Linked DNA regions of Struthio camelus. Each later gene encodes a partner of the first gene's protein in a complex. Links are inferred from orthologs where the notes say so. Each region holds a gene or a part of one and is shown in the gene's direction. Other genes may lie near its edges. The genes, in order: SNRPG, PRPF8, PRPF4 and CRIPT.

Region 1 (7,016 bases):
GCATTGCAGCACGGGCATTGCATTGTGTCACAGGCACCACGTCGTGGGCACTGCATCGTGGCACGGGCATTGCATTGCAGCACGGGCGCTGCAGCACGGGCGCTGCATTGTGGCGTGGGCATTGCATTGCATCACGGGCACTGCATCACGGGCGCTGCAGCGTGCCATGGGCATTGCATCACTGCACAAGGAGCACAGCGCAGCGTGGGCGTTGCGTCACAGTGTGGGCGTTGCGTGGCAGTGCAAGCGTCGCATCGCTGCACGGGCACTGCCTGGCAGCGTGGGCATTGCAGCGAGGCATGGGCACGGCATCACAGCCTGGGCACCCTGTGGCAAGCGTTGCATCTTGGTGCGGGCAGCATACTGTGGCACGGGCATTGCATTGCAGTGCGGGCAGCGCAGCGCGGCCGTGCCCGGGCTGCCCTGCAAAGCACGGCGGTGCAAGCACGGCCCAGGCCCACAGTTCCCCCCCGCTGGCGCTGGTGAAGCACCCGGGGCCCCGGGAGCAAGGGGCAGCGCTGGGGCTGGCGCGTCCCCAGGAGGAGCCACCGGTGCTGGCTCATCCCCCAGCCGCGCTTCCCCTCGGCACCTCCCAGACCCGACACCCGTGGCCCCCTGCCAGCCCAGCCGTATTTTTAAACGAAAGCAATAAAAATAAGCGGGCGGGCGCGCCACGATCCCGCACGTCGGCCAGCGGGGAGCGACCGCGGCGGCGCCGGCGCGAAGCCCCCGCGCCCCGGCATGCCGGCGGTCCCGGCCGCCCGCGGTGCTATTTGCAGGTGTTTGGGGTTGGGTTTTTTTTGGAGTCCGGCGGGAGGGGCGGCCAGGCCGCAGGAGCCACGGGGCGGCCGGCACGTGCCGCCACGCAGCCCCGCTCGCCGGGGCACTCGGGGTGCTGGGCCCCGGCACCGGGTGCTGAGGCCGAGCCGGCCCCGCACGTGGCCTCTGTCTGGGACCAGGCAGGTAAATCCAGGCTGGAAGCTGCAGCAACCGGAGGGGCAGCGGGTGCCCCCCATGCCGGGGCCTGCAAAGGGGCAGCAGGGGCAGGTGCCGGGGCACGAGAGCTGCCACGGGGTGCGACGCAAGGTGCTGGCGCATCTGGGATATCTGGGATGCAACATCCTGGCCAAACCGGGGTGCAAGAGCCCGGCAGATCCGGGATGCAACATCCTGGCCAAACCGGGGTGCGAGAGCCCAGGAGATCCGGGATGCAACATCCCGGCCAAACCAGGGTGCAAGATCCCGGCCAAACCGGGGTGCAAGAGCCCGGCAGATCTGGGATGCAACATCCTGGCCAAATCGGGGTGCAAGATCCCGGCCAAACCGGGGTGCAAGAGCCCGGCAGATCCGGGATGCAACATCCTGGCCAAACCAGGGTGCAAGAGCCCGGCGGATCCGGGATGCAACATCCTGGCCAAACCGGGGTGCAAGAGCCCGGCAGATCCGGGATGCAACATCCCGGCCAAACCGGGGTGCAAGAGCCCGGCGGATCCGGGATGCAACATCCCGGCCAAACCAGGGTGCAAGAGGCCGGCTGGGGCGGTGCCGGCGGTGCTCGGCGCTGCACGGCCGGCGGGTGGCGACGGCGCTGGGCGCTGCGCGGGGGGGCCCGGGCCGGGGGCGGTGCTGACCCGGGAAGCGGATGGGCCGGGCCGGGCATGGCGGAGGCGGCGCAGGGCCGGGTGCAGGCGGCGGTGGAGAGCATGGTGCAGGGGCTGGAGCGGGACAGCATCCGCGGCCTGCAGGTACCGGCGGCGCCCGCGGCGGCAGCTCTGCGCGGCCCCGGCCCGCGCCCCCTGCGCCCCCCCCACCCCCGCCAGCGCGGCCCTGGGCACCCCCGGGCGAGCACACCCCGGGCACACTCCGTGCAGCCTCTGTGCAAGCACCGTGCACGCTCCACGTGTGCCTGTGCACACCCCGTGCACACCCTGGGCAAGCACCGTGTGTGCCTGTGCACACCCTGGGCAGCCCCCGTGCATGCTCCATGTGTGCCTGTGCACACCCTGGGCAGCCCCTGTGCATGCTCCATGTGTGCCTGTGCACATCCTATGCACAGACAGCCTGTGCAGCGCCTGTGCACGCTCCATGCGTGCCTGTGCACACCCTGTGCACGCACACCCTGTGCAGCGCCTGTGCACGCTCCATGCGTGCCTGTGCACACCCTGTGCACGCACACCCTGTGCAGCGCCTGTGCACGCTCCATGCGTGCCTGTGCACACCCTGTGCACGCACACCCTGTGCAGCGCCTGTGCACGCTCCATGCGTGCCTGTGCACACCCTGTGCACGCACACCCTGTGCAGCCCCTGTGCACGCTCCATGCATTCCTGTGCACACACAACCTGTGCAGCGCCTGTGCACGCTCCATGCGTGCCTGTGCACACCCTGTGCACGCACCCCCTGTGCAGCCCCTGTGCACGCTCCATGCATTCCTGTGCACACACAGCCTGTGCAGCGCCTGTGCACGCTCCATGCGTGCCTGTGCACCCCCTGTGCAGCCCCTGTGCACGCTCCATGCATTCCTGTGCACACCCTGTGCACACACCCCCTGTGCAAGCTGCACACGCCTCCCTGCACACCCGGTGCAGCCCTGCGGCAGCAGGAGGGCAGCAGCTTGCAGAGGCCGGCTGGCCCTGCCGGCTCGCTGCGCGCTCATGGCAGGGGCGGCGCAGGGCACTCGCGCAGGGCACTGACGGCCCCGGCTCCGCAGGGCGCCATGTTCCGGTGCAGCGCGCGGTGCTGCGAGAGCAGCGCGGCCTCCATGCAGCAGGTGCAGCAGTGCATCGAGCGGTGCCACGCGCCCCTGGCGCAGGCGCAGGCCATCGTCACCGGCGAGCTGGAGCGCTTCCAGGTGAGGGTGGCGGCGGGGGCGGCGCGGCGGCAGGCGGCACGGCGCGGCGCTCACAGCCCTGTCCCCGCGCAGGACCGCCTGGGCCGCTGCACGCTGCACTGCAACGACAAGGCGCGGGACGCGCTGGAGGCAGGTGGCCCCGAGGCGCGGGCGCGCGCCCAGCTCGACGCCTGCGTGGCCGCCTGCGGGGACGAGCACCTGCGCCTCCTGCCCGCCATGGCCCGCAGGATGAAGGAGAGCCTGGCCGCCCTCGAGCAGTAGCGGGGGGCCGGGCCGCGGCCCCGCGTTTATTAAAGGCGAGGTGCAGAGCTGGGCCCCAGCGGCGCCGTGGTGGCGGGGGGGGCCGCAGCGGGTGGCGCTCTGGGTGCTGGCAGCAGGGAGCCCCTGGTGCCCGTGCCGAACGGCCGGCGGTCGCTGGCTCGGCATGCCCGGGGCAACCGCTGCCCGTGCGCAGGGCGCGGGGTGACACCGGCGTGAGTGCGTGTGCAGTGCAGGGTGATCCCTGGGGGCGTGCAAGGTGCAAGGTTATCCCTGGGAGTGTGCAGGGTGCAAGGTGATCCCTGGGGGCGTGCAAGGTGCAGGGTGATCCCTGGGAGTGTGCAGGGTGCAAGGTGATCCCTGGGGGCGTGCAAGGTGCAAGGTTATCCCTGGGGGTGTGCAGGGTGCAAGGTTATCCCTGGGCGGGTGCAGGGTGCGGGGTGATCCCTGGGGGTGTGCAGGGTGCAAGGCGATCCCTGGGCAGGTGCACGGTGCGGGGTGATCCCTGGGCAGGTGCAGGGTGCGGGGTGATCCCTGGGGGTGTGCAGGGTGTGGGATGATCCCTGGGGGCGTGCAGGGTGCAGGCTGATCCCTGGGGGTGTGCAAGGCATGGGGTGACCCAGGCACATGTGCAGGGTGCGGGCTGATCCCCGGGGGTGTGCAGGGTGCAGGCTGATCCCCGGGGGTGTGCACGGTGCAGGATGATCCCCGGGGGTGTGCAGGGTGCAGGCTGATCCCCGGGGGTGTGCAAGGCATGGGGTGACCCAGGCACATGTGCAGGGTGCGGGGTGATCCCCGGGGGTGTGCAGGGTGCGGGCTGATCCCCGGGGGTGTGCACGGTGCGGGGTGATCCCCGGGGGTGTGCAGGGTGCAGGCTGATCCCCGGGGGTGTGCAAGGCATGGGGTGACCCAGGCACATGTGCACGGTGCGGGCTGATCCCGGGGGGTGTGCAGGGTGCGGGCTGATCCCCAGGGGTGTGCACGGTGCGGGCTGATCCCCGGGGGTGCGCAGGGTGCAGGCTGATCCCCGGGAGTGTGCAGGGTGCAGGCTGATCCCCGGGGGTGTGCAAGGCATGGGGTGACCCAGGCACATGTGCACGGTGCGGGCTGATCCCCGGGGGTGTGCAAGGCATGGGGTGACCCAGGCACATGTGCACGGTGCGGGCTGATCCCCGGGGGTGTGCAAGGCATGGGGTGACCCAGGCACATGTGCACGGTGCGGGCTGATCCCGGGGGGTGTGCAGGGTGCGGGCTGATCCCCGGGGGTGTGCAAGGCATGGGGTGACCCAGGCACATGTGCACGGTGCGGGCTGATCCCCGGGGGTGTGCAGGGTGCGGGCTGATCCCCGGGAGTGTGCAGGGTGCGGGCTGATCCCCGGGGGTGTGCAAGGCATGGGGTGACCCAGGCACATGTGCACGGTGCGGGCTGATCCCCGGGGGTGTGCACGGTGCGGGCTGATCCCGGCGGCGTGCACGGTGCCCCCCGTACGTGTGCCCGGCGGGCGGCGCTGCTGGTGCCGCTGCACGGAGCGGCGCGCGCGGCCGCGTGGGGAGCCCAGCGGCGCCGGGAGCACGTGGCGCCCTCTCTAGCCGTATTGACCCGCGTATCCGCGCATCCTCCCCCGGTTCCCCAAGCCGGTGCCGCCGTCGCCTCCGGGGACGGCCGGCCGCAGGAGCCCTCCGGTGTCCTGCTACTTCTGCCCCTCCGCCAGCGTGTCCCCGCCGGGCCTCCTGCGGCGCTTGGTGCCGCAGCTGCTGCGCCTCTGCTCGGGGGAATGCGGTAACCGCTCGGCAACGGGGGAAGGAGGGGAGTGTCGCCTTCCGGGGAGGCGCGAGGGGCGGCGGGGCGGGGAGAAGGGGGAGGCGCGGCCGCTATTGGCTGGCGAGCGGGTCACGCGGGGCGGGTGGAGGGGGCGGCGCGGTGACGTCAGGCGGCGCGCGCCGAGCGGCAGAGCGGACGGTGGCCCCGGCGCTGAGGAGACGCCATGAGCAAAGCGCACCCGCCCGAGCTGAAGAAGTAGGTACCGGCCCCGGGCGGGGGGGGGGCGCGGGAAGGCGGAGGGGGAGGGAGGTGGAACTGTGAGTGGGGGACGGGGGGGGGGGGTGATGTGGGGGGGCGGCGGCGGTTACCTGCCCGAGCGACCGTTATTCTCCAACCGCCGCTCTCCCGGCATGCATTGCGCGGGGTGGGGGTGGGGGGCGTCATGGCGGCGGGCCGCCCGCGCCGCGCTGACCGGCGCCCGCCGTGTCGTTGCAGGTTCATGGACAAGAAGCTGTCACGTGAGTCCCGGGCTCCGGGGGGCGGCGGGGCGGGGGGGGCAGGTTAACGGCAGCGGGCGTCCTCGATCTCTTTTATGCCCCCAAATCGGTGTGTGTGTGTGTATATATATATATATATATATATATATATATATATAATATATATTTAAGATTGCTACCTTGCATTATCTCTCACCCTCTCGCTTCTTACGCTCCCTTTCTTACACTGGCAGCGTTAAGTGAGGGTGCGATGCTCTTCGTGCTTGTGATTGAACCCCCCCCCCAACTCTTATTATGACAGCACGCTCTTTCTGAGCTACTGTCCTGAGCAAAACCACCTCAGATGCCGCAGTTCGGTGGTCCCGTCCTTCACGCTTACTGGATTTCTTTCAGTGAAGTTAAACGGTGGCCGACACGTCCAGGGGATATTGCGAGGGTTTGATCCCTTCATGAATCTAGTCATAGATGAGTGTGTGGAGATGGCACCAGGAGGACAGCAGAACAACATAGGGATGGTGGTAAGTACTAGTTTGGATTGTCAGGGCTGAAACAAGTAACAGGTACCTGGTCTGTCACCGCCCTGCAAAGACAGCTAATATATGTATTTAAAGGAGCTGAGTTCTAAGAAGTTGATGTACTTGCTGTAAGGAAAATGTAATGTAAACTGCCTGTGAAGTGATGTATTTGCACACAACAATCCATTGTGTTTTAGAGTTAAAATTAGTTGTAGTTTTCCTTTGTAGGGAAATGCATTTTAATTTCAACTTTGGAGCAGCATCTACTGTGCAGTCTTCTAGGAGGACAAATTTGGATGGGGCAGGGGGGAATCTGCAGTGTTACAGAGCTGTGTTTACCGATGGGCTTCATCTCACTGGCTGCTGTGAACTTTTCTTTTTAGGTAATACGAGGAAACAGCATCATTATGTTAGAAGCCTTGGAACGAGTATAGAACCAGTGAAACCCGCTTAGTGACAGTGTGTGCAACATGTGGGATGACCCCTGTGTGTGTGCAGCATGTTGGGCTGTGATGGGACCTAACTCTACTATTTTGTGTACTCAGTTAAATCCTCTACAAACCATACATCACTTGTGTAAACTTATTTTTTGTTAAATAAATTTTGTAATGGTTGAAGTAACTTGAGTGAGTTGTACCTGTTGTTATGCTGCTAGCGCAACAGATTTATTATTATTTGATAGCCTTAAAACTCTGAAAAACTTCCGGGGGCTTGCTTTCTTCAAGCGGGTGGAAAATAGGCTTGTCCTTGCAGCAGGTGACACGCACAGTTTCACAATATTGGCATTAATTTTGGTCCTGTATTCCTCTGCCCTCTTGTGGCAAGCAGGCTATTAGGCTTCTTTTACACTATCAGTGTAGTGGCAAGGGCTGGAGCATTTGTCTTATTAAAATATTTGTGACAGCAACTTGACTACGATCTGCAACCCCGATGTGAGGTATTGCTATTTTGGGTTATTTCAGTTGCCCCGTGCAGTGCAAGGGGTAGAGTAGACTGAGCAAAGCATGGGGCTCTGTAGTACTGGTACACTTGTAGAAGGTTTAAAGCATTCAAACAAGACTAGAGCTTATGGCGAGTCTAGTAATAGCGCCACACATAATTTAGACATTAAGTGCTGCAAAAGGAGCACTAAACA
Region 2 (6,846 bases), on another chromosome or scaffold:
ATGCTGGAGGTGGCAGGACCAGCTGGCGGCTGAGATGCTGCAGAGATGTAAGTGGGGGGATGACCAGTAGTTGGGCACTGGCATGACAATGGTTTGCACCTCTGCTCCATGTTGCACCCAAACACGAAAGTCGCTGGCAGTGACTAAGAGCTGCTGTTCCTGCAACCATCTACACCCTCCTGAGGAGACAGCAGCTCCCCGGCTCAGCCTCCCTTCTTTTGTCTTTCTCAGGTGATCGTCTGCTTTGGTATTGCAGTGGTACTCCATCAGTACGTTGGGTTTGCCCTCATTGCCTTGCTGGTGGAGATTAACTCCATCTTCCTCCACCTGCGGCAGATTCTGCTCATGGCCAACCTGGTGCACACCACCTGCTACCGCCTCAACAGCATCGTCAACCTGGGCACCTATGTGGTGTTTCGCATTGCCACGCTGGCCTGGATGACACGGTGGCTCTTTCTCAACCGGGAGAACGTGCCCCTGGCAACGTACACTGTGGGCACGGTGGGCATGGCAATCATGACGCCCATGAACATCATCCTCTTCTACCGCCTGCTGCGTAGTGACTTCTTCAAGTCCAGCAAGGAGGTGCAGCAGGACAAGGAGAAATAGCCCCTTTCTCTGCAGGGTCCAGGGGATGAGCAGCCCTGAGGCCTATGGAAGAGGACAGCGAGGAAGAAGAGCAGTGGAGAATGAGCACGGATATTTCAGTATCTTGCTTGGAGGATCCACACTAACCAGAGCACCTGGGCTGCTCCAGTGGCTGCAGATCCCAGGCCCCGCGCTGTGGAAAAGGCACTTCCAGACCAGGCGCTTGGGGCCCTGCTTCCCCTGCACCTTTGATGACGTGGTTGGATGCCTGGGAGCTGCTCAAAGAAGCCTCGACAGGTCTCGCAGCTCCGTAAGGCCACTGCTGAGATGAAAAGGGAGCGAGGAGAAGACCATTGTCTCCCTGCTGCTCTTCCAGACAGCCGAAAGCTGCTGTGTGTCTCTGACCCCTTCGGTGCTACACCCTGCAGCATCCCACAGGCTGGGCACCAGCACTGCCCAAGGGCCAGCCCAGCATCACAGGGACCTTGCTGCCAGCCCTGTGCTCTCCATGGCACATCCCACCAGGCAGGAGAGGCGCCAAAGCTTCACCCTCGAGGCCAAGTCCAGCAAAAGCCAAATCCTGCACGCGAGTCCTCCCTGAGGAGATAGTCCCAGGTGGGTGATGGAGGGAGAGGCTGAGGCCAGCCTGCAGCAGGTGCAGCCTGGGCACCAGAGCCCTGGGCAGTGGGTGCTGTGTCCATGCGCTCGGGGATGGGCTGCTGACTCCTCTTGGCACCTGGACATATTTTCAGTGTTGCTTCATTCCCAGGTGCAACAAGTCCCCCTGCACAAGCATGGGAAGGAGCAAACTGCTGGCCAGGATGGGGCTACGTGGTGATCACTTCCCACGGAGGAGGGGTCGTCAGATGGGCCAGATTTGGGCATCTTTTAGGAATGAAGAGTCCTGCTGCAGAGCCTCCGTAACACTCTTGTGCGGCAGCAAGCGCTCATACTAACACAAGCTTTTAATAAACAGTTGCAAATGAAATAGCTTGAGGGGAAGGGGCTCAGAGCTGGGCAGGTCCTCACGTTGCCTTTTTCCTCCTGCTTCCCCTGCGCTGCGCTGTTTGCAGTGGCCCAACACCTTGCAGAAAAGCAAAGTCATCCCACTCAGAGTTACGTGTGCCCATTTGGAGAAATCCGCTGGGTCTGTCTGTCACACTCTCTTTGGGGCAGATCACCCTGAATGTGCGATTTCTCCATTGGTTTGAAACAGCAGGGAGACAGTCTGCAGCTACTGGCAATGCACTGCTGGGGGTGGGTGGCTTCTGCCTCGAGGAGGAAAATAAGGGCTCAGACACATTTCTGTCCAGAAGGAGAAAGACAAGCGACACGTGTGGGTAGTGGGATGCTGGAAACGACTCGTGGCCAAAGCTGCTTATGTTTCTATTTGTGGACAGTGCAAGGAAGCTTGCAGGTGCAGGGTTTGGGTTTGTCACCTCGGGGCCCACGGCGGTTATCAAGTGCCCGTGTGCCTCACGTACCTCCCAGGCAGGGCTGAGCAGGCAGCCAGCGCTCTCTTTTGGATTTGGCCCATTTCTGCGCAGTTTTTCAGGAGCTGCCCTTTTCGCAGCGCAGCTGCTCGGCCTCTGCACCCGTCCAGCAAGGCTTGCTCTGTCCTCCTGCTTCTGCCCACGCCGGGCACGTTTCTCAAGGCCTCAATTGTGTTGTCGCATTCCTGCCGTCACATGGATATCGTGTACCCCAGGCACGCGAGGACAGCCCGGGTTATGTTATAAAAGGCACCCCCCCCCACCCCGGACTGGCACATGCTGCTTTTCTAGATACATCACCTACCGAGCAGGTGCGTACGGAGGATATCGCAGCAGGAGGTTGAGGCCAGGGAAGCCCTGTTTTGGGGGACTCTCTTAGCAGATGGGATTTTCCTGCAGTGCTCATGGTGGCTTTGCAGCTCACTGCAGCCAAGCGCTTGGGTACCTGATGCTTACCTGTCCAGAGGAAAAATGCTGTGGCCTTGATTTTGGGAAGGGAGCCCAACCCCCACCCCTCCAGGGCTGGGTTAACGGGGCACGGACAACCTCTCCCCTTTCCAGCACCCCTGCCATGCCCAAGCCCTGACGCCAGTGACCGCCTGTTGGGTGGCTGCGGTGCATTAAGCCCGCTTGTCTTTGCAGCGCGTTGTACCTCGCGCTTTCACAGTACACTGAACCAGCTCGGAGGGCTGTGTGACGGCACGCCGTTCCCGGGGGGCCAAGGAAGGGGGCCCCGAGGACGGTGGCTAATTGCCGACGCACTGACGGCCCCGGCGTCAGGTGCTGGCGGGAAGGAGGTCCTGCGCTCCAGCCGTGGGGTCTGGGCTGGGTGGGAGGAGGTGTCCCTCCCTGGGGGGGGGGCTCTGGGGCACCCCATGCTCCGGCCCTGTGCGGCGCTGTGGGGTGGAGTGGCCCTGGACCCGAGGAGGGGAGATGTGAGCACCATGGGGCCACGTGGGCTGGCCAGCATGCACTGCCATTGCCATTGCCCTTGTGGGGGGCCCCCACCCCACAGCACCCTATGGAAGTCCCCCCTTGGCCCACAAGGCCCCATGGGTGGCAGCAGCACCCCACAGAGGGTCCCCCTCAATGCCCATAAGGCCCTATGGGAGGCTCACCCCAGAGCACTCTATGGAAGGTCCCCAGGTCCTCCTCACCCTACAAGGCCCTATGGGGGGGCCTTGCTCCTCAGCACCCCATAGAGGGTCCCCCCTGCCCCACAGCACCCCATGGGGGTGTCCGCCTCAATCCCCACAAAGCCCAATGGGGGGGCTCACCCCACAGCACCCCACGGAGAGTGCCCGAGATCCCATGGGGGACCCCTCGCCCCCCCAAAGCTCCCACAGGGGGCCCCCATCACCCTACGAGGCCCCATAGGGGGCTCCCTCGCCCCCCAGCATCCACCAGCCCCCCATGGGGGGGGGTTCCTCTCCATCCCCCCAAGGCCCCATGGGGGGGCCTCACCCCGCAGCACCCCAGGGAGGGTCCCCTTCGCCCCACGGGGTCCCATGGGGCCCCTCGCCCCTAAAGCACCCCATGGGGGTCCCCCTTGCTCCCCCCCCAGGGGCCCCCGCAAGGCCGGTGGCGTAGGTGAAATAGGCCAGGCGTTGTCCAATCAGCGCCGCCGCCGTGCTGTCGCCGCCGTCCCCCCTCCACCAATCGAAACGGCGGGAGGGCGGGACCGGAGAGGGAAGGGCTGCCTATCGGAAGTGTACTCCAGGCACGGCTTCCTTTCCTCTTCTGCCTCCTGTCCCGCCCCGCACCCCGCCTCCGCGTTCTGACGGGCTGCGGCAGCTGCCCGTGAGGCGGCTCGGAAGCTGATTGGAAGCTCCTCCTGAGCGCGCCCCGCCCACATCCGGGGCTCCGAGGCGCGGTGGCGACGGGCCTGGGCCGCCATTGTGGTGGGGAGTCGGGGGGTGTCGCGGGAGCCGGTGAGCGCGGGCGGGGGTCGGGGGGTCCGGGGCGGGTGTGGGGAAGGGGTCGTGGCGGCGGGGGGGGAGGTTAACGGCAGCCGCCTCCCCGCCCTGAGCCCGGCTCCGTGCCCGCAGGTGCGTCGCCATGGCCGCCGTGTTCCCGTACCGCGGCGGCTGCGCCCCGGTGCCCAGCCCGCTGGCTCCGCTGCCCGACTACATGTCTGAGGAGAAGCTGCAGGAGAAAGGTGGGTAGGACCGGTCTCGCCGGCCTCGGCCAGCCCCGGGCCCTCTGTGTCCCGCCTGGGCCGGCCCCGCAGGCCGGGCCTGACCCCGCTGTGCCTCTGTCCCCGCAGCCCGCAAGTGGCAGCAGCTGCAGGCCAAGCGCTATGCGGAGAAGAGGAAGTTCGGCTTCGTGGACGCGCAGAAGGAGGACATGCCCCCCGAGCATGTCCGCAAGATCATCCGCGACCACGGTGACATGACCAACAGGAAGTTCCGCCACGACAAGCGCGTCTACCTGGGGTAACGCAGCCCCCTGCTTGGTCACGGTGGGCCTGGGTGGCACAGGGGAGCTGCGCCCGGTCCTCCTCTGCTGCCTTGTCAGAGCTCCGAAGGGCTTTCCGTGTCAATTGTGTATAGAAAACAGCGTAGTAACCTGAGGAAGACATGATAACCAGTTGCACTGGGATAGCAACACAGAAGAGTATAAGCAAAGGAAGCGGTTGCTTTGAATTTTTGAGAAAAACATTACCCTGAATAACAGACAGGTCTTAACAGGAGCTTGAGGAAATGTGTAAGGTGGCCAGTGCACGTTCTTTGGACATCTAATATGCACCTGTGCTTCTTTGCTATTTGGGCTCAGAGAAGCATCTCATGCAAATTGGGATCCTTTGCACTAACTTTCAGTTACCTGTAGAAACTCATTTGAAATTGATTTTTTGGGATGGTACTGTTCTTAGCATGTAACATCCTCTCTGAAGCTAAATCAGCAGAAAACTTTTTGGTGGCAAGATCTGTGAAGCACAAGGATAGACTGGGTAGGAAGTTGGATTTGTCACTGGAGACCTTTATGAACGGATCAGATGAACAGTTTTCGGGAGTGAAATATATATAGTTAGTTAGGCTTTCAGCAGATGGATGGCTAACTTCTTGAGATCCCTTCCAACTCTGTTTTTCTTTGATTTCTGTTTGTAGTGCTCTGAAGTACATGCCTCATGCAGTTCTAAAGCTCTTGGAGAACATGCCCATGCCTTGGGAACAAATCAGAGATGTTCCAGTCTTGTACCATATTACAGGCGCCATCTCTTTTGTGAATGAGATTCCTTGGGTCATAGAGCCAGTGTACATTGCACAGTGGGGGTAAGCACCTTCTTCCTTAACCCTCATGGGAAACTTGCAGATAAACGCTCGTGCAACTACGCTAACGTAGTGCTGTACGTAATGGTCTCGGTTTCTGCCAGGTCAATGTGGATTATGATGAGGCGAGAGAAGAGGGATAGGCGTCATTTCAAGAGGATGAGATTCCCTCCGTTTGATGATGAAGAACCCCCTCTGGATTATGCTGATAACATCCTGGATGTAGAGCCCCTGGAAGCAATCCAGCTTGAGCTGGATCCGGAGGAAGATGCTCCTGTGCTAGACTGGTTCTATGACCACCAGCCACTGAAGGACAACAGGAAGTATGTACCTCTTTCTGATGAAACAGTTCACTGCAAAAAACAAATGAAAAAGAAAACCTAAAAAAACCAAAAAACCCCAAAACATTACAAACTAAATAGGCCTACTGCTATATGCAGACTTTATAGACCCTTTGGTCTTATTGTACTGGGCTATGTATGATGTTAGTGGGGAGAGGAAGCCTTCGCTCAAGGATGCAAGGAGGAATCTGACTGCTTTGAAACTAGTCCTCTATCTTCAGCGTCCATGGAGAACAAGCAAAGTGTCTCTGTTCAGGAAGGCTGCTGCCCAGTTAACTGGCTAAAACTGGAGTTTTTCCTTTCATGCCATAAATTTGAAAACCTGAATTGTCAGATTGGAATTTAAATTGATATTTGTTAGGAGTGCACTTACGCCTCAAAGGCTGTTGAATATGACTTCAGGTGTTGGTGTGTCAGTCTGGATATGGAGGAGGGGAATTGGTCCGGTCAGTAACTGCTAGGTGGTTGTGGTGCACAGTGGTCTTAAGCAATCCTTCCACCTTCTCTTCTGTCTGGAGGGACCCATGAGTTAGCTGTCTTTAACTGTTTTCTGTAAATGACAGGCAGTGAAAGGTGTTTGGATGGTCTTGGCTCTTTGGTAAAGGCCCAGTGTTCTCTGGCTGTGTAGTGAGTGTCTCGTGCTTTGTTCCTTCACAGGTACGTAAATGGTTCTACATACCAGCGTTGGCAGTTTACGCTCCCTATGATGTCCACGTTGTACCGGCTGGCCAATCAGCTGCTCACTGACCTTGTGGATGATAACTATTTCTATTTGTTTGACCTGAAGGCATTCTTCACCTCCAAGGCACTGAACATGGCTATTCCTGGAGGTCCCAAGTTCGAGCCTCTTGTTAGAGACATCAATCTTCAGTAAGTGCTGAGTTTAGGAGGAAAGATAAGGGGTTATCTGGGTAAGGGCTGGGAAGGTTTGTGTGTTACCACGTGGCTTGCCCTGGGTGAGCTATACCTGGGTGTTCTCTCTCTGCATAGCATAAAGTTTGTGATGTGCTTGCTGCTTAAAAGACTGAATGGTTGTTAAGGTCAAGAGGAGGCTCAGGGAAAAGGGCTGGCATAACACCTTTGGTCAACGATATTTGCCTTTCTGTCCTACTTGAATGCTTGTATGACAACTTCTTTTTGTCTCATTTGAGGGAT
Region 3 (7,945 bases), on another chromosome or scaffold:
TACAGCGGAAAAAGGGATGTCTCTAGTCCCTGTCTCCCTATGAGCTTTGGCCATGCTTTTTTTGGTTAAATGTTGTCAATCCAGAGAAGCCATCTACCTCCCCTGTCGCAGCCTCCCTAATGCTACAGGCTGCTGTGTTCTTGGCCCACTTTGCCAGGCTCTGAACAAAACTTGGCCTCCCTAATGATGACTTCTACTGACTGCTTTTGCTGCAGTCCCAGCCTTTCTGCTGGCTGTATTTGAGGTTGTCCTGATGTTAACACTAGGCTTGCATTAAGTAGTGCTTGGAGGGAGGTGAGGACTCTAATGATTACTAGAACTTGAGTAAATTAATTCATGCGTTGACACCTATGTAGCAAGCTTGGAGTGTGATGTCCTATGTCTGTCTTCTCTGACTGTGCCCTGACGATCAGTCTCCATACGATCTGTGCCTCCAGCCTATCACCTTGGAAGAAGTGCACAAAATACCCAGGCTGTGTTCATCAGCTGGCTTTTATTGTTTTTCCCTGAGTGCCTTTTCAGTTGATCTGAAGCCAGTCCCAACAGATCCAGCAGGATACATAGTTTTGTTTACAGTGGACCGTCACTTTTGTTTTTACTCTTGCTCTTTGTGGAAGTAACTTGTCTAATGTTACTGTGAATATCAAGAATCCCTTGTAAATAATTAGCCAATAAAATAGATTGCATTTTACCATGGTGTATGTGTGTTTTGGAAATAACCCTCAAAGCAGAGACTGCAGCTAAAGTGGAGGCCAGCAGCTTCTACTGAAACATTCAGCAAGTGACTCCAAGAGTAAGTGCCTGGTTTTATGAACTAACGACCAGTAGCCAGGCAGCTCCGGTCTGGCTTTCTCCAGCCCCTTTTCCCTTGCACTACTCTCCTGTGCCTGTTGTGACAAAGCGAGTGTGCAGCAGGGGCTAAGTGTCCACCTTCCTGTGGTTGGGGATTAGAATAAGGAGCAGCATCTTCTGAGCCCATGGCTGGCCCTGAGCAATAACTCCTGAAACTGCTAGAATGGGAGTGCTGGAAATTAGTAATGCGTAAGTAGCTGTTTGTTTCTGTTTATTTAAATTTTGCTGAGTGTGGCCAAGGCTGAGATGGAAAAAGGAACTAGTGCCTGCCTGATCTGCTTTCCAGTACAGAGGGAGAGGTCAAAAGACAAAATTTGGGGCAGATGTGATAATAAACCCACTTGGTCGTGGGAGATGTCTATATACAGCAAGGAATACTGAAGCTCCCCTCACCCCGCCCCAGAGTTTTATTCCAGGTTGCAGTCATCCACACAGGAGAAACAGGGGTTTGGGTTGTTTTTTGTTTCCATAAACAACCAAAGGGTGTCTGGAACTTCCTGCTGTTGCTCCTAAAATGTTTCCCTGTCGGATTTAGGCCATGCTGGGGATGCCTGCATAGCAGGGCAGTCCCTCATAATTTCACATGGTGTGAGACGGGAAAACCAGCTCTGTTCTAGTCAACATTGTCACTTCTTCCAATCTGAAGAATGGTTTGAAGAGGTTTAAGTTTTGTACATTTCTCCAGCCTGACCTGAAATTTGATGCCTCATACAAGGCTATAGCATGAAGTCAGCAAGTCAAGTTTAGAGCACAGGAGTCCTAAAACATAACTCGGAGGCAAAAATATTTCTTACATTTAGAAATCAACCATCACTTTTTTGCATATGCCCAGGGCTGTGATCAGTAACTGCTAGGTAGGTACAGCCCCTTCAAGGAAGCTATACTGAATGTTTGATTTTAGGAACACGTGTCAGGTGGATTATAAAGAGCAGCATGAGCAAAAACAGTAGCCGAGGTTTCACATGCCCTGGAAAGGAAGGCATGCCCTGTGAACTCAGGCAACGTGAGTTTGGACTGTGGGCTGAAGTCAGAGAAGGAATTGGAGTTGTTTCACTGAAATTAGCTTCTAAAGAGATTCAGTCTTCTTTTGTGCTGGAAAGCAGGAGACTAAACTGAGCATAACATGTCAGAACGGGCTTTTCTTTTTTTATGAAAAATTCAATTAGACACCACTGGGAGGAGAAAATAAGGGAAAATTTGGCACTGCAACAGAGAGGAATGGGTTTTGAGGAACTGGAGTTTCGAGACAGGATTGGGAGACTGCAGTGAGATGATCACTGAAAAGGGTGAAAGGTGCGCGTGTTGAACTACAAGGTGAGCATTTCCCTGGAGGAGGAACAGAAGCAGCTAGAAGGGCCGAAAGCGTGATGCAAATAAAACGTCAAAACTAAAACCTCAGAAATTACAGCATGTGACCTCCCTGGACGGCATGGAGAGAGGGTGCTCCTCCATTTCCAAACATGACAACACTCCCTTCTTTCCACAGGGAAAGGTTGTACAGTGGATGGCAGAAGCAATTAGGGAGGCAAATAGATACTGAAAAATATCAATACCAATAAAGAGCATTCTTTGCCCCTTTCCTTATCCCTGTGTAGGAATAACTGTCACTGCCCAATCTTTGCTCGTGAGCAAACTTTTAAGCACAATAAAAACTTTCCCCTAGCCCTACTATTATGCAAGTCCTACAGTTGCATAAAAAGAGAGTCTGAGGGGAATGTGCCAGCATCTCTGCACAACCTTCCAGTCCGCTTCTCCCTTACCAGTGCTTACAGTCCCCATGTCTCTTTTTTTAACATGGCCAACGCTATCACTGAAGTGGATCGTCCTGAACCCGTCCAGGTTTTGATTACAGCTCTGGTACTGCTCAGTTCTATCACATTCATGCTTCTGCCAGGTTTCTCCAGCCAATACTCCGAAGTCAATACATGCACAAATAAAACAGCTGCCATGCATGCGAGTAACTCTCAATAAATACCATAGAGTCAAAGTTGCACTGTGTGTACTTGAATTCATTAGGCTCGGTTACAGAAGATGGGAGCGTTGCCAAATTCACAGGGCCAAGGGCTCCACAGTTCAATCTTTAGCACTGTATTAAAAAGATTGTCAAGGAATTTGCATACAGTTTGTCAACCTGGGATATCAACTCAAGACTGTCTGAAGTAGGTAAACAGCAAGGCTGGACTGGAGAATAAACAGCAGGGAGAAAAACAGCAGGGACTGAGTGGTAGTAGGTTGTGGAATATCCTCTCAAGGGAGATGCCTGGAACTTTGTCACTTGAGACATTGGAAATATAACTGGTTACTGCACTAGAAGATGGTAAAAAAACAATCCCCTACAGGAGTAGGGAAAACTTCCCATTCCATCTTTAAGTCCCATGTGGATGTTTTGATACAGGCACTGCGGCTTGGCAGCCTGCTCTGCCTCCTTCCCCAGGCTGGAGGGAACAGAGAATCTTTTAAACACTGACAGCATTGACTCCTTCAGTTTTTTATTTTGCTTCCTTTAGGTTGGCTGGCTACACGCTAGACTCCTCCTCAGGGCACTACATTATCTTACTTTTTAATTTTGTACCCATCTAACTGACAGGGGTACCAGTCACAGCTATAAATTAAGGTACTTGCTAGTCTGTCACTATCAGAAATGAATCCATGTTTGCATGTGACACTGTCTATAAGGGGATGTGTGGTAACCTTTGATCCAAGCAACAAACACCTCTCGCTACATAGCGATGCAGCTAGCACGACCCACTCGCCAGGTCTGAATGGAGGGGAAGGAAATAAATTTAAAGGAAAAAAAATGCTTAATCAGAAACTATGGAATACTGTTCAATTTCCACGTGCCTAGCGTGTTCTGCTGCGTTTCATTCAAAGGAAAAAATCCACACCCTGGCTGTGCCACTGGCTGTAAAGCAGCTCTACAGCCATCTGTGAAACATGTTCGGGACTAGTCCATTTTAACAGCCATGGCGGGCTTCCTTCCTGGCCTTCTCAGAAGAAGATAGAGCGGTGTCTGTGAGAAGTTTTGCCAGTTGGACCCCGATCCATGACACCCAGTATCTTTATTCACCCAGAGCTGTAAAACACTAATTAGATACTCTGCAGCACCCTTCCTCATGGCAGGGAGGTCACAGTCTTGTAGAGCTGACGGTTTCAATGAATACATCCCGCTGGCTCAGTTTTTAAGATAACTAAATCAAAAGATCCCCAAAACCTCTTTCCGCAGAGGCAGCGTTTTACCCCCTCAGCGTAACAGGGCACCTGCTCAGTCCCCGGTTCTCGCACACGCGAAGCAAACGTTGGTCTCGGCGCCTCCAACCCCCGCTCTCCACCGCCAGCGAAAGCAGCTCGCACGCTTAAAAAAAAAAAAAAACATATTTATTTAAAACAAAATAGTTAGCCAGGGGCCATTCACAGGCTGGTTAAGGAGGAAAATTAAAAAAAAAAAATCAAGAAAATCCCCAAAATAACAAGAAAAACCGGTCCAGGGCTCCGCCGGCCCTAGAACTCGAAGGTGCCGAAGTGGGCGGCGCGGCCGCCGGCCTTGGGCTGCGGCTTGTAGCCGATGCGCTCGCCGATGATCTGCTCCCGGCTCTTGTGCTCGGCGCCCAGCGCCAGGGCGGCCTCCTCGCCGGCCGCCGCCACCTCCGCCTCCTCCCGCTGCTTCTTGCGGCTCTGCAGGGCAAACGGCGCCGCCTCAGAGCCCGGCCGCTCCCGGCAGGCGGCGGGGGACGCGCCGGGCCCCGGTACCGGCGCCGCGCGCTGCGGGGCGGCCCCGGGCCCGCCTCAGGCCGCGCCCCCCCGCCCGCCGCCGCGCCCGGCCCCGCTCGCACCTCCAGGTCCTTCCGGATGCTCTCGAACTCCTCGATATCGTCCAGCTTCAGCTCCAGCCGCGTCGGCTTCCGCCGCAGCATCGCTCGCCGCCGCCGCCGCCGCCAGCGCCGCCTCAGCCGCCGCCGCCCGGCTTCAGCCGCCGCCACCGGCAAGGAGCGAGAACGCACCCCGCCGCGCCGTTTGCCACACCTCCCGACCTGCCCCGCGCTCCCCGCCCGTCGGGGGCCACACCTCCCGGCATGCCCCGCGCTCCCCGCCCGTCGGGGGCCACACCTCCCGGCGTGCCTTGCGCTCCTCGCCCACTGGAGGCCACATCTCCCGGCATGCCTTGCGCTCCTCGCCCACTGGTGGTCATACCTCCCGGCACGCCCCGCGCTCCCCGCCAGCTGGGAGTGGGGCGTACCTCCCGGCATGCATCGCGCTCGCCGTTCACTCCGCCGCGTACTCAGGCTCCCACCTCCCGACACGCGCCGCGCGGCGCCCCGGAAGTGACTGTGGGGTGCCGGGGCGGCAGGGCGCGGAGCGGCGGGTGTCCCGGTGCCGGCCGCTATGGCTTCTTCGCGGGCTCCGGTGGCGCGCGGCGGCGCGCGGCCCCCCGCGCGGGCTCCCGCTCCCCCCGAGGTGCGTGTCCAGCCGGGCCGGGGCCGGGGCCGGGGCCGAGCGGAGGAGCGGGCCTGGCCCGCCGCCTTCCGCCCGCCTGCGCGCCGGAGACCCGAAAGGGGGAGCGGGGGGCAGCGGGGCGGTTTGCGTGGCGGGGGAGGCCCCGGTGTCGGGGACGCAGCGAGCGGCGGCGCGGCGGAGACTCGAGTGCCGTCAGCGACACCTGAGCCCTCGAAAGGGGTCGTGACCAGACTGTTGATGTTTTTTCGCAGATTTTTGAAGAATCCTGTAATTTTCTTGAAAAGTGCTTTCAGGCTTCTGTCCTGCGAGTAAAGGAGGGTTTTTTTTGGTAATGTTACATCTCCCGCTTTTCAGCGGGGGCATTGAGAGGTGGCATTCAACATCTCATGCCTCTTCTAGAAGTTCTTCAGCAAGATTGGGAAGAGCTTCATGTTTTTAAAAAAAAAAAAATAGGAGAGAGAGAGAGAGAGACTTAAAAACTATGCCCAAGCAGACACTAAAAAAATAGAAAAAGATGCAAATCTAATTTAAGCAAGTCTATTGAACATGTCGTTTAACTTTTGATTTTTTGCACTTGAGGGGCATAGCCTTACTGTTCTAAATTAGCATCTCGTGCACAGCTTCAGGGTCTTTTCATGATGTCCTTACTAGCTTTCTCTGGCAGAGCAGTGCTTTCTCGCACAGCCAAGCCATTCACCGAATGTCTTCTATTCAGCTAAAACACACTGAAGAAGTCTTAATGTTCTGCCTCTATTTTCTAGGTCGCAAAGAGCAAGGCCTCAGAGGAGAGCGATGCTCCTCCACCCAAAAGAGCCCACATCTTTTATGGCAGTTTGGAAGAGAAGGAAAGAGAGCGTCTTGCAAAAGGAGAGTCAGGCCTGCTGGGAAAAGAGGGCGTGAAGGCTGCAATTGAGGCTGGCAACATTAACATAAGCAGTGGTGAGAATGTTTAACCCTGTCACCTTTTGATTCTCGCTCTTGATTTTGACATATTCATAAGTCTCTCTGTTTGGGCTTGAGCATAATTTAAAATCAAGAACGAGACACCTTTGTCCAGCTGCCGTTTTCAATTTAACGGCTTCACTTTTGGTTTAGGTGAGGTCTTTGATCTCGAAGACCATATGAGCGAGCGTCAGGCCGAAGTCTTAGCCGAGTTTGAGCGCAGGAAGAGAGCCCGGCAAATCAACGTTTCCACTGACGACTCTGAAGTGAAAGCCTGCTTACGAGCCCTTGGGGAGCCCATCACGCTCTTTGGAGAAGGTCCTGCAGAAAGGAGAGAGAGGTGCTGTGCCCAGTCTTGCGTGTTGCTAACTGTTAACACTCAGCTCTACCCCATTTGTCAAATTCCTGAAATATTTCTTGTAGTTTGGGTGTAATGAACGCTGCTAGTCAGTGATGCTTCTTTATGATGTAGCAAGAATAATGGGGGTGAGGGGGAGAACAGAAGACAATGGTCAGACTATCTGACAGCTCACTGAGTGAATGTGATTTAATGTGTTTCTTTTCAGATTACGAAATATCCTTTCAGTGGTTGGCACAGATGCCTTGAAAAAGAGTAGGAAAGATGATGACAAGTCTAAAAAATCCAAAGAAGAGGTAATATTCTCTCTTTTTCTCTCTCCTTATTTATTTATTTATTTATTTTGGAGGGGTTGCTGCTAGCTCTTAATGTGGCGGGGAATATGTATAAAAAGTTTTTAGATACCTTATTTAGACGGTCTACAATAGATCCAGTGCTTTTGGTTTCAGTCAGACTGACAGTGAGGGTTGCAATGTATTTAAATCAAGAGAATTAAGTCCAGGTTGTACTTCAGACCAAATTACATGTTGCATATGGCGTATAAACCAGGAGACTGAGCATTGGAACTGTTACTTAGTAAATCCTTTATTGCTGATCATCATCTTACTCAGGAGGAAAAAAACTATGTTCCTGCCACTACATCTAGTTCTGTCTTTGATTCTTCTTTCTTTCTGCCTCTCTTTTCTGAGTCTGGTTTTTTCCTTATGATTTTGGAGGGTTGCTATAAGGAGTAAGTACAATTTCTGCAGCTCCAGGCTTTCTTTTTATTCCTCCCTTTTCCACATATCCAGTAAAATCATCAGCAGTAAATGGTCAAGTGAAATATAAGATTGTGTTCAAGCAGAATACACCTGTGGGGCATGGCAGTACACCAGGATCTCATTTGTAGGACAGAGAACTTGACTTGTCTGTGTTAAATCTCTTTTTTGAGGACTTATATTTATGCAGAATACCCCATTCAGCCCCTTAAGACAAAGGCCTTAAGACAGCAAGCTTTAAGAGAAGGTGCTGCGGTGGCAGTTATGTACGAAGAGGAGTTATCTAAGATGACTGAATGGAAGAACTCTTATCACATTAGCTTTTTCTTTAGTTTTGTTCTTTTTCTCTAAGTATCAGCAAACCTGGTACCACGAAGGACCACGCAGTCTGAAGACAGCTAGGCTGTGGCTTGCTAACTACTCGCTCCCCAGGTAAGGAAAAACAAAATACATGAAAAAGAGAGAGATGCAGGCTTCTGTCAAATCTAACCATTAATCCCACTATGGGTAATGCCAGAAACTTGAGATCAAGAGAACAGGGAACCCCTGCTGGTAGACAAACCCAGTGAGGTTAGAGTTTAAG
Region 4 (7,477 bases), on another chromosome or scaffold:
CTATTCACTCCTTAAACTGAAAATAAAAAACTAGCATAACTGACTTGAGCGAGCACTCAACACATTTTTCCGTAAGCTGAAAACTGATATACTACCAAGGCCAACACATTAAGCTATTATAAAAAGACTATTTTTGGCCTTCTTTATACAAGTTGAAATCCGAAGTAACTCCTTAGGTCAGCAGGATTTTACAACTTTTTACTTTCATTGAGATTAGATTTCACTCTTGGGACACATTACAACGACACTAATACTAACATCATATTATTAGAACCTCAAGCAAACGCGGGGCTTTTTTTATGTTTCAGAGTCCCAGTGTTTCAACAGTCCTGTTATCTCTGCTGCCTTTTTTCACCCATTAGATAGAATACTTCTGAAAAATGCATTATCCTTGATATGTGCCTATATTATGGCTTTCACCAACTAAAAAAGGCTCATTTTACTTTAAACATACTCTTAAAAAAAAAAATGCTAGAAAATTGACACCGAAAACAGCTTTTTCAGAAATTTGAAAAAGAGTATGGATAAGGATTACATGCTTAAGACCGCAGAAAATTACATATTATTTTTACAATTATATTCAGGTTAAAGATAACACCAGAATAATGTTTGTTTTGTCTTGCTATTTCTACTTTAAAAGCTGCGCTTATGAGGATACTCTCAGATCATGTGCAGTCATGCTCCCTTCAGCGTTTACTCACAGATCTCTTCTGTATTTGACAGTTATCATACTAGCATGCACAACGGTTTGACAACAGTCAAATAGCGCATTTGAAGGTTTTTGTCTTTCAAATGCAAATAAAGAAAGATTTAAACTCTGGCCACCAGAAATAAAAAGCCAGTTTTTTAAATCAGTTACACCTTCAAAATAGATAATAGTTTTCTTTGCCAGAAAAACTTTCACAAGCCCTTAATTATGAAAGTGAAAATGACCCATAATTCAGGATGTTTTATTTGCTTTACAAGAAACTCCATGATATATTGTTTATGACAACTCTATTTCTATTATGGGAAAAAAATGGAGAAAATTTAAAGTAGAACTTACCCATTTTTACTAAATACCCGTATCCATGCTTGAATGTTTGGTCCCAGCACACACAAGCATTGTAAAGTAGTAAAAGTAGATAGCAGAACTGCAAACAAAAATGTCTCAGTCACTGACCTACAAAGAAGGAACACAATAAAATTAACTGAGGCACAATTGGTGATTTTCTAAGAGTTCCAAGAACTAGGAAAAAAACTCAAAATCATCTAGAAAGCATGCATTTTTCTTAAATTCATGTAAAGAAAAAAAAAGTTTTTCTTCTTACTCTGTAGAAGAGAAAAGAAAGATGGAAAGAATTCTAACATCCATTCGTTACCTCAACAAAATCTGAAATGTAGCAGCTTATTTTAAATGTCCGATACCTGTAACATTTTAACAAATACAGCGATATCTTACACAGAAGGTTACTACTTTCTAACTGAAGTACACTTGGATATTTACTTTATCATTCCATTTATCTTTCTAGTTTGACTTAGTGGAAGCAACCATGAAACCAAGCCACATGATGTCACCGCTATTCAGTAATTTAGCGCCTCTCAAAAATCAGTTAGGAGAGATGTGAGGCAGCCTTTTGGGTTTTTTTTTGTTTTTTTTTTTTTTTCCAAACCACCCTTAACAATTAAAATACTAATATGAAAAGGATGAAAGCTATAGGAGATGCACGTTTCAGAAACTTAATGGAAAAATGACTAAATGAAACATGGAAAATGTTTGCAACCATATATATGACATACAAGTATAAAATATGTCTATATTTGTACATCTCCAAATATATAGAAATTTTAAGGGCTAGCTTCTACGAAAAATAGCCACTCTTCGCCCAGCCAGGAGGTTATCCTTTAACTCCCAATGTACCAGGAAATACTCAAGTACTTATACCAATATCTGCAAGAAGAACTGCCACTTAAAGAGTTTAGAGGAAAAAAGGTTCTTCCGACTTACTCTATGAGAGGTGCTCCATAAAGAACAATAATCGCATGAAATAGTATGCAAGACATGAAAAAGTACATACAGCATTTTAGAAATCTGGATATCTAAAAAAGAGCAATAACATATCAGAATAATGTTTCAAAAGAAAAGAGAACAATGAGCAATGTATATAGTCAATATCTTATCAGTAGCATCTCACTGTACCCACTTCCTTAGATATTTAATTTCAACTATAGCACAGTATGATTATACGCTCCTGTATTTCCAGACCGCTTTCCCTATGTTTAATACTTCAAATCATTAATTAAAAAACATAACATGAACACACTCCAATCTAAAAATCTTTTCATATATCATACTATTATACAAACATACAAAAAATAACTGGAAATAACAAGATAAATGGAAAAAGTTCTAGGGCATGTTTTTATGTTTACGTGTTACATTTCAGCATTATACCCATTTGTTAAAAAGCATCTTTCGCAGAACGTGCAAAAATATTTAGGAAGATGCAATATACATACATGATATTCAGAATGAAATATAGTATTTAAAACTACATGACATAAAACGTATTGCATTTTGAAACTGCCATCTTAAAATCTAAATCCATTTGAGAAACATCCATGACCTTCTAAACCTACAAAACGCATATAGTTTTCTATGAATCAAAGCAACAGTTTCTGGGTACCCACTATTATATCAAAATAGAGCCACTTGATAAAGTGTCACAGTTTCACCTGAACACTTTTTTTTTTTTTTGGGGGGGGGGGGGAGGGAGGGAAGGGAGAGATATTCCTGTGCTAGTTGGGATGAAACCTCACCTAAAACTTGAAGCCTGCTTTGTTTTTTAAATTATATATGGTTAAAATGCTTGTTTTCCATGATTTAGTGGATTTCATGCCCTGCTCTGTCAGTAAAAGTAGATAGAAGTTTCATAGGAAAAGTTACTGCTTTCAAGGATGTTTAGCTTGCACAACTATTTAAGAACGACCGTTTAAGAGCATTAAATTTTGTCTGACTCAGCAAGTTGGGAGGACAAGACTATCCAGCTGACTTGTGAATGCCTTTCTATTCCACCACTCCCAGGGAAGTTGGGTGCCGCTCCAAATTTGCTCTGTTCAGAGGTATTTTCTTGGAATTCATATCTTTAATGCTTCTGTTACAAATGTTAACTATAAAAATTTATCACAGATTTAAATTCTTCTGTGTGCAGATGTATTCGTTCAAGGAAAGGTAGTCACTTCAGTGCTTTTCCACCTCATCTTCTAAAATCTACCAACTTAGTTTAAAATTTAATGAGCTCTTTGTTTTCTTTTTCATCAGTCAAAAGTTTAAGAAAAGTTTTTCTTCCTTTAGAATTATTAGTAACTTCTAACTACTCAGAAGAAAAGTGTCTTTTCATAACACTGGGATTCAGGCCCAGATTATGAAATGAGTTCTGTACCCATTCAGGGATTCGCCCTGATTTTTGCCAGCAGGTAAGCTCTTGGAGGATCAAGGACGCCACAGTATACAAGCCACAGTATACTGACACGAAAAGGCAAGGAATCACTCACCTGAACAGACTATTTACAGGTAGAGAAAATTTAACACTGTGAAAATATCAGAAAACTTACTTCTCAGCTCATTCATGGAAAACAAGATTTCACCACCTAAAATTGTAACTTGCTTTCTCTTTCACGCTTGACTATTTCAGTAAAAGAATTCAACCTCCCATCAGTACTGCCTGGTAGCAATTTAAGAATAAAAATCTTACCTTGTGAGCAAATGAACTTCTCTTAGGAGACAGATTTGGTTTAAGGATTAAATATAAGATTATATTAAGGGCACTAATGGAAACAGAACAAACGCACAGCCAGGTGAGGTGCGTTCCCAAAACCGAGAAGTTGTCCAGGAAGAAGGCTGGGACGGTTGTTGTTAGAATAACTGAAAAAACACAGAGCAGGTTGGCAGCTAGGAGCCTCTTTATTTCTGCTTCTTTCATTGTGTTCTCTGTTAACCAGTCACCTGCAAGAAAGCAAGCTGTGCTTAGTTACTGAAAGACAGCCAGAAGCACTAGCCAGCAGTATTTTTCCCTAGCTGAAACACACAAGGCAAAACTCTGAACTTAGTTTGGGGCCGAAGAGGATTACTTTGTGGCAGAAGTTTCATTCGTTCATTTAAAAAAAAAAAGGGGGGGGGGGAACACGCAGCAATGCTGTCCTTCAACAGGCTGCCCACATTCAAAAGCTGGGCGGGCTGCGGGCTCGCCCGCCCCGGGCACCCCTCCTGCGCGGCCCGAAGCGGCACGTCTCAGGCCACGGCTCCCGCAGCAGCAGCCGCCCCCAGCTCTCCCCCGCGGGCCGCCCCGCCGCCCCGCGCCGGACCGGGCCGGGCCTGGGCCGCCTCACCCCGCCGCGCTCGGCAGCCGCGAGCCCAACGGTCGGGGGGGGGGAGGGGAAGGAGAGAAGACATGGGAGCCCGTTGGGGCGGCCCTAGGGAGCCGAGGAGCGCGAGCCGCGCCCGCTCTTACCGGCGCGTCGCCCCGCCGCGGCGCAACGGAAGACCCGGCGGGCGCGTCACGTCCGGGGGGCGGGGCCGGAAGCGGCCGTTTGTTGTGGTCGGGGTCCGCCATGGTGTGCGAGAAGTGTGAGCGGGGCCGGGGCCGGGGCCGGGGCCGGGGCCGGGGCCGGGGCCGGGGCCGGGGGGGGTCACTCGGTCGGTCGGTGGGTCGCGGGGCGGTGGCTGGGCCGCCGGCAGGCGGGGCTGGTTGCCGGCGTTAACGCAAACCAACTTGAGCTTTTTCCCTCCGCGCGCGTGTTTCCTCACGTAGGCGAGAAAAAACTGGGCACGGTAATTACTCCTGATACGTGGAAGGATGGCGCAAGGAACACCACAGGTACTTCTGCTTTCCGGGGGGCTTTAACGCTTCTCGTTCAGATGTCTTAAAGCCCCTTGGGCACCTGTATCGTCGTTCAATTCTAAGGCTGAGGATTGTAATAGCTGTTCTGTTGGGTTTGTTTTTAACTGTTGTAGTTTCCTTAGCGTGCTAATTCCATCCTCTGGGCGTTTACTTGCCCTGAACTTTTCAGGGCTGGATCTGTCTGGGTTCTCCCCCGACCCATGTGGAGTGACGATACCCAAGCAGAAGATAATGTAAGGGGTTCTGTCGTCCTGTGCTTTAGTCCTGTGTTATACGCTGTGCTTTTCTTTCTGATTTCATTTACAGAAGTGTAAAACTTCTAAGCTAAGCTTTTTCCCAAACCTGATCGAAACTGGGAAATCTACCATCTTTATTTTTCTTTCTGTAGAAAGTGGGGGCCGAAAACTGAATGAAAACAAGGCTTTGACTTCAAAGAAGGCAAGGTTAGTATTTAATCCTGATTTTGATTGTCTAAAAAGGTCATTTTCCTGTAACCAGGACCTGTTTCCTGCACAACTGGGCAGCTTCTCAAACCATGTCCAAAATGGACTTTGTTTTTAAAATTCTTAATGGGGGTTGCGGCATGCTATTAGTTGGTAACAGTATGTTTGTACATATTTCATGGGTGCTTTCTGCTGAATCAAAAATATATTTCAGTGCTCACTAAAACTGAGTGTTAAGTTTGATATTCGTATTAGAAGAGAAGCTGGAAAGACGTACTCTCTTGCTAAGACCACCTGTACGGTCTCTTCAGCGTATTTAATATTTGCAGGCCCTTTTATTACCTTCTGCAAGGTTTATTTTATCCTCTGTAGAGAGGGCAAGCCATTGCTGGAAGACATTTAGTTCAAAATAGTCTAGCATCTTAATGAAAAGGCACGTTGTGTTTTCATAATGCAGGAAACCTCTCTTTGTAAGGTAGCGAGGGGTCTTTCTGTAGACTTTGAGTGCAACCTGTTTGAAACAATCTTTGTATGTCCCTTTTCTAAATCATAGTTTCTGTTTGTGGTCTCTGGCTTAGACTTTTTAGGATGAGGTAGCGGAACTACTTTACTTCGTGGTGTATAAATACAGTATATTTCCTTTCTCTCTTTCCTCAGGTTTGATCCTTATGGAAAGAACAAATTTGCAATATGTCGGATTTGTAAGAGTTCTGTCCATCAGCCAGGGTCTCACTACTGTCAAGGATGTGCCTATAAAAAAGGTGAGATTCACTGGATACTGAGTTAGCCCAGTTTGGTTTGAAAGTAGTGAGCAAACGCAACTCAGGGTTTGTTTGGCCTTACAATGAGAAGGCTAAGGGGAGATCTAATTGCTATCTCCAGCTACTAATGGGAGGGTGTAGAGAAGTTGAAGGTAGCTTTTCTCTGAGGTGCACAGTGATAGAATAAGAGACAGTGGACAGAAGTGAGAATGGAGGAGATTTAAATGAAACATAAGGAAAAAACTTTCACTGTGAGGGTGGTCAGATATTGCAACATGGACTCAGGTTGTTTTCTACAAAAGTAGAAAACCTGGGAAATAAAAGGCAAAGAGACAAACAGATGCTGTTGTAAAAAGAGCTAATAAAGTGCCTTTCAAGGCAAACGGGCTTCTTGCATTGTGAGAGAAGCTTGGCTTAAGTTGCAACTGAAAATCAAAAAGTAAGAATAAAACCTTTATGTTTAGAAAGCAAGATATTGCCCAGTGTAGTATATAACATACAAAATCTTTCTGTACTTCTAAATCATGTATGAACAGCTGCACTGAAATTCTGCTTCTGTCTTGAGGTTTTCAGTCTCCTGTATTCACAACAAGCCTTTAGGGTTGTTGAAAATTGTTTTTTGTTTTCTCAATGAACTGTTGAACAATTTCAAGCAACTGTGAGGTAAAAGTTGAGCCTTAAGGATATACAACTTTTACCAGTCTTGTGAATTTGAGTAGGTAAGCAAAATGGAGGCCTAAGCTTGTAATTGCCTGAGGAAAAAGCAGCAGCATATGAACTCAGTTATATTACTAATTTTGGAAAATCCACACAGCACAGACATGGGCTAAACCAATTGTTAGCTGTAGAGGCACATCTAGTCGGTATGAGTTTAAATGTTGTTTATGAAATGACATTAATTCTTTCACAACTGGGCGGCGCGTCAGTGGTTTAGCAGCCTGCCGTAGAGCTGCTATTTTTTCTGTTTTCTGGGTGCTCACCAGGTGGCTGCCAGAATCCCACATGAGGGAACCTTATGCTTTCTTAAATTTATAGTTGATTTGGGTGAGCTTGAGGACTTTTTTGTCTGCTCGTGTACCTTTCCAGGTAGAAATGGATTTCTTCATAAAAGACGGAGCTTCAGCTGCTTTAAGTTCTAGCTCTGACCATCAAAGAGAATGGATATGGCATGTTTCTTGAAACAGGTGTGGTCGTATGGATTAGTGCTTCAGTTGCTGCGCGTCTCTGAAAGCTAGAGACTATTCAATGTTCCAAAGTTAACTACGCCTCTACTTAGACCTGGGGTGAACAGCCTGTGGGATGGATTTTGCACTCTAGAGTAAATCATGTGGTATTTTCCCTGCTGTTGTCTGTCCTAATAGACTCTTAGATGAGTGTCCAGTATCATGATGTC

What was found.
Region 2: SNRPG (region 1) and PRPF8 share a complex: the UniProt entries of both Homo sapiens proteins name them as parts of the U4/U6-U5 tri-snRNP complex. The link is inferred for Struthio camelus from reciprocal best matches to the Homo sapiens genes SNRPG and PRPF8.
Region 3: SNRPG (region 1) and PRPF4 share a complex: the UniProt entries of both Homo sapiens proteins name them as parts of the U4/U6-U5 tri-snRNP complex. The link is inferred for Struthio camelus from reciprocal best matches to the Homo sapiens genes SNRPG and PRPF4.
Region 4: SNRPG (region 1) and CRIPT share a complex: the UniProt entries of both Homo sapiens proteins name them as parts of the minor spliceosome. The link is inferred for Struthio camelus from reciprocal best matches to the Homo sapiens genes SNRPG and CRIPT.

The regions. Positions count from the first base shown.
Region 1 is NC_090968.1:3,162,677-3,169,692, reverse strand, and holds SNRPG (small nuclear ribonucleoprotein G), read left to right. Parts: upstream 1-4,972; 5' UTR 4,973-5,092; coding exon 5,093-5,124; intron 5,125-5,364; coding exon 5,365-5,387; intron 5,388-5,759; coding exon 5,760-5,884; intron 5,885-6,264; coding exon 6,265-6,315; 3' UTR 6,316-6,502; downstream 6,503-7,016. Other genes in the region: protein FAM136A, read left to right, coding at 1,659-1,745, 2,709-2,849, 2,922-3,110. UniProt on the Homo sapiens protein: Plays a role in pre-mRNA splicing as a core component of the spliceosomal U1, U2, U4 and U5 small nuclear ribonucleoproteins (snRNPs), the building blocks of the spliceosome.
Region 2 is NC_090957.1:16,069,840-16,076,685, reverse strand, and holds the start of PRPF8 (pre-mRNA-processing-splicing factor 8), read left to right. Parts: upstream 1-3,830; 5' UTR 3,831-4,012; intron 4,013-4,129; 5' UTR 4,130-4,139; coding exon 4,140-4,239; intron 4,240-4,347; coding exon 4,348-4,516; intron 4,517-5,188; coding exon 5,189-5,353; intron 5,354-5,454; coding exon 5,455-5,673; intron 5,674-6,348; coding exon 6,349-6,561; intron 6,562-6,842; coding exon 6,843-6,846. Other genes in the region: TLCD2 (TLC domain-containing protein 2), read left to right, coding at 232-609. UniProt on the Homo sapiens protein: Plays a role in pre-mRNA splicing as core component of precatalytic, catalytic and postcatalytic spliceosomal complexes, both of the predominant U2-type spliceosome and the minor U12-type spliceosome.
Region 3 is NC_090961.1:12,158,471-12,166,415, forward strand, and holds the start of PRPF4 (U4/U6 small nuclear ribonucleoprotein Prp4), read left to right. Parts: upstream 1-4,938; 5' UTR 4,939-5,232; coding exon 5,233-5,304; intron 5,305-6,065; coding exon 6,066-6,243; intron 6,244-6,399; coding exon 6,400-6,586; intron 6,587-6,812; coding exon 6,813-6,900; intron 6,901-7,714; coding exon 7,715-7,794; intron 7,795-7,945. Other genes in the region: anaphase-promoting complex subunit CDC26, read right to left, coding at 4,351-4,524, 4,683-4,763. UniProt on the Homo sapiens protein: Plays a role in pre-mRNA splicing as component of the U4/U6-U5 tri-snRNP complex that is involved in spliceosome assembly, and as component of the precatalytic spliceosome (spliceosome B complex).
Region 4 is NC_090944.1:108,650,851-108,658,327, reverse strand, and holds the start of CRIPT (cysteine-rich PDZ-binding protein), read left to right. Parts: upstream 1-4,475; 5' UTR 4,476-4,590; coding exon 4,591-4,606; intron 4,607-4,790; coding exon 4,791-4,856; intron 4,857-5,268; coding exon 5,269-5,323; intron 5,324-5,980; coding exon 5,981-6,084; intron 6,085-7,477. Other genes in the region: PIGF (phosphatidylinositol-glycan biosynthesis class F protein), read right to left, coding at 1,046-1,162, 1,988-2,079, 3,735-3,985, 4,369-4,432. UniProt on the Homo sapiens protein: As a component of the minor spliceosome, involved in the splicing of U12-type introns in pre-mRNAs. Involved in the cytoskeletal anchoring of DLG4 in excitatory synapses.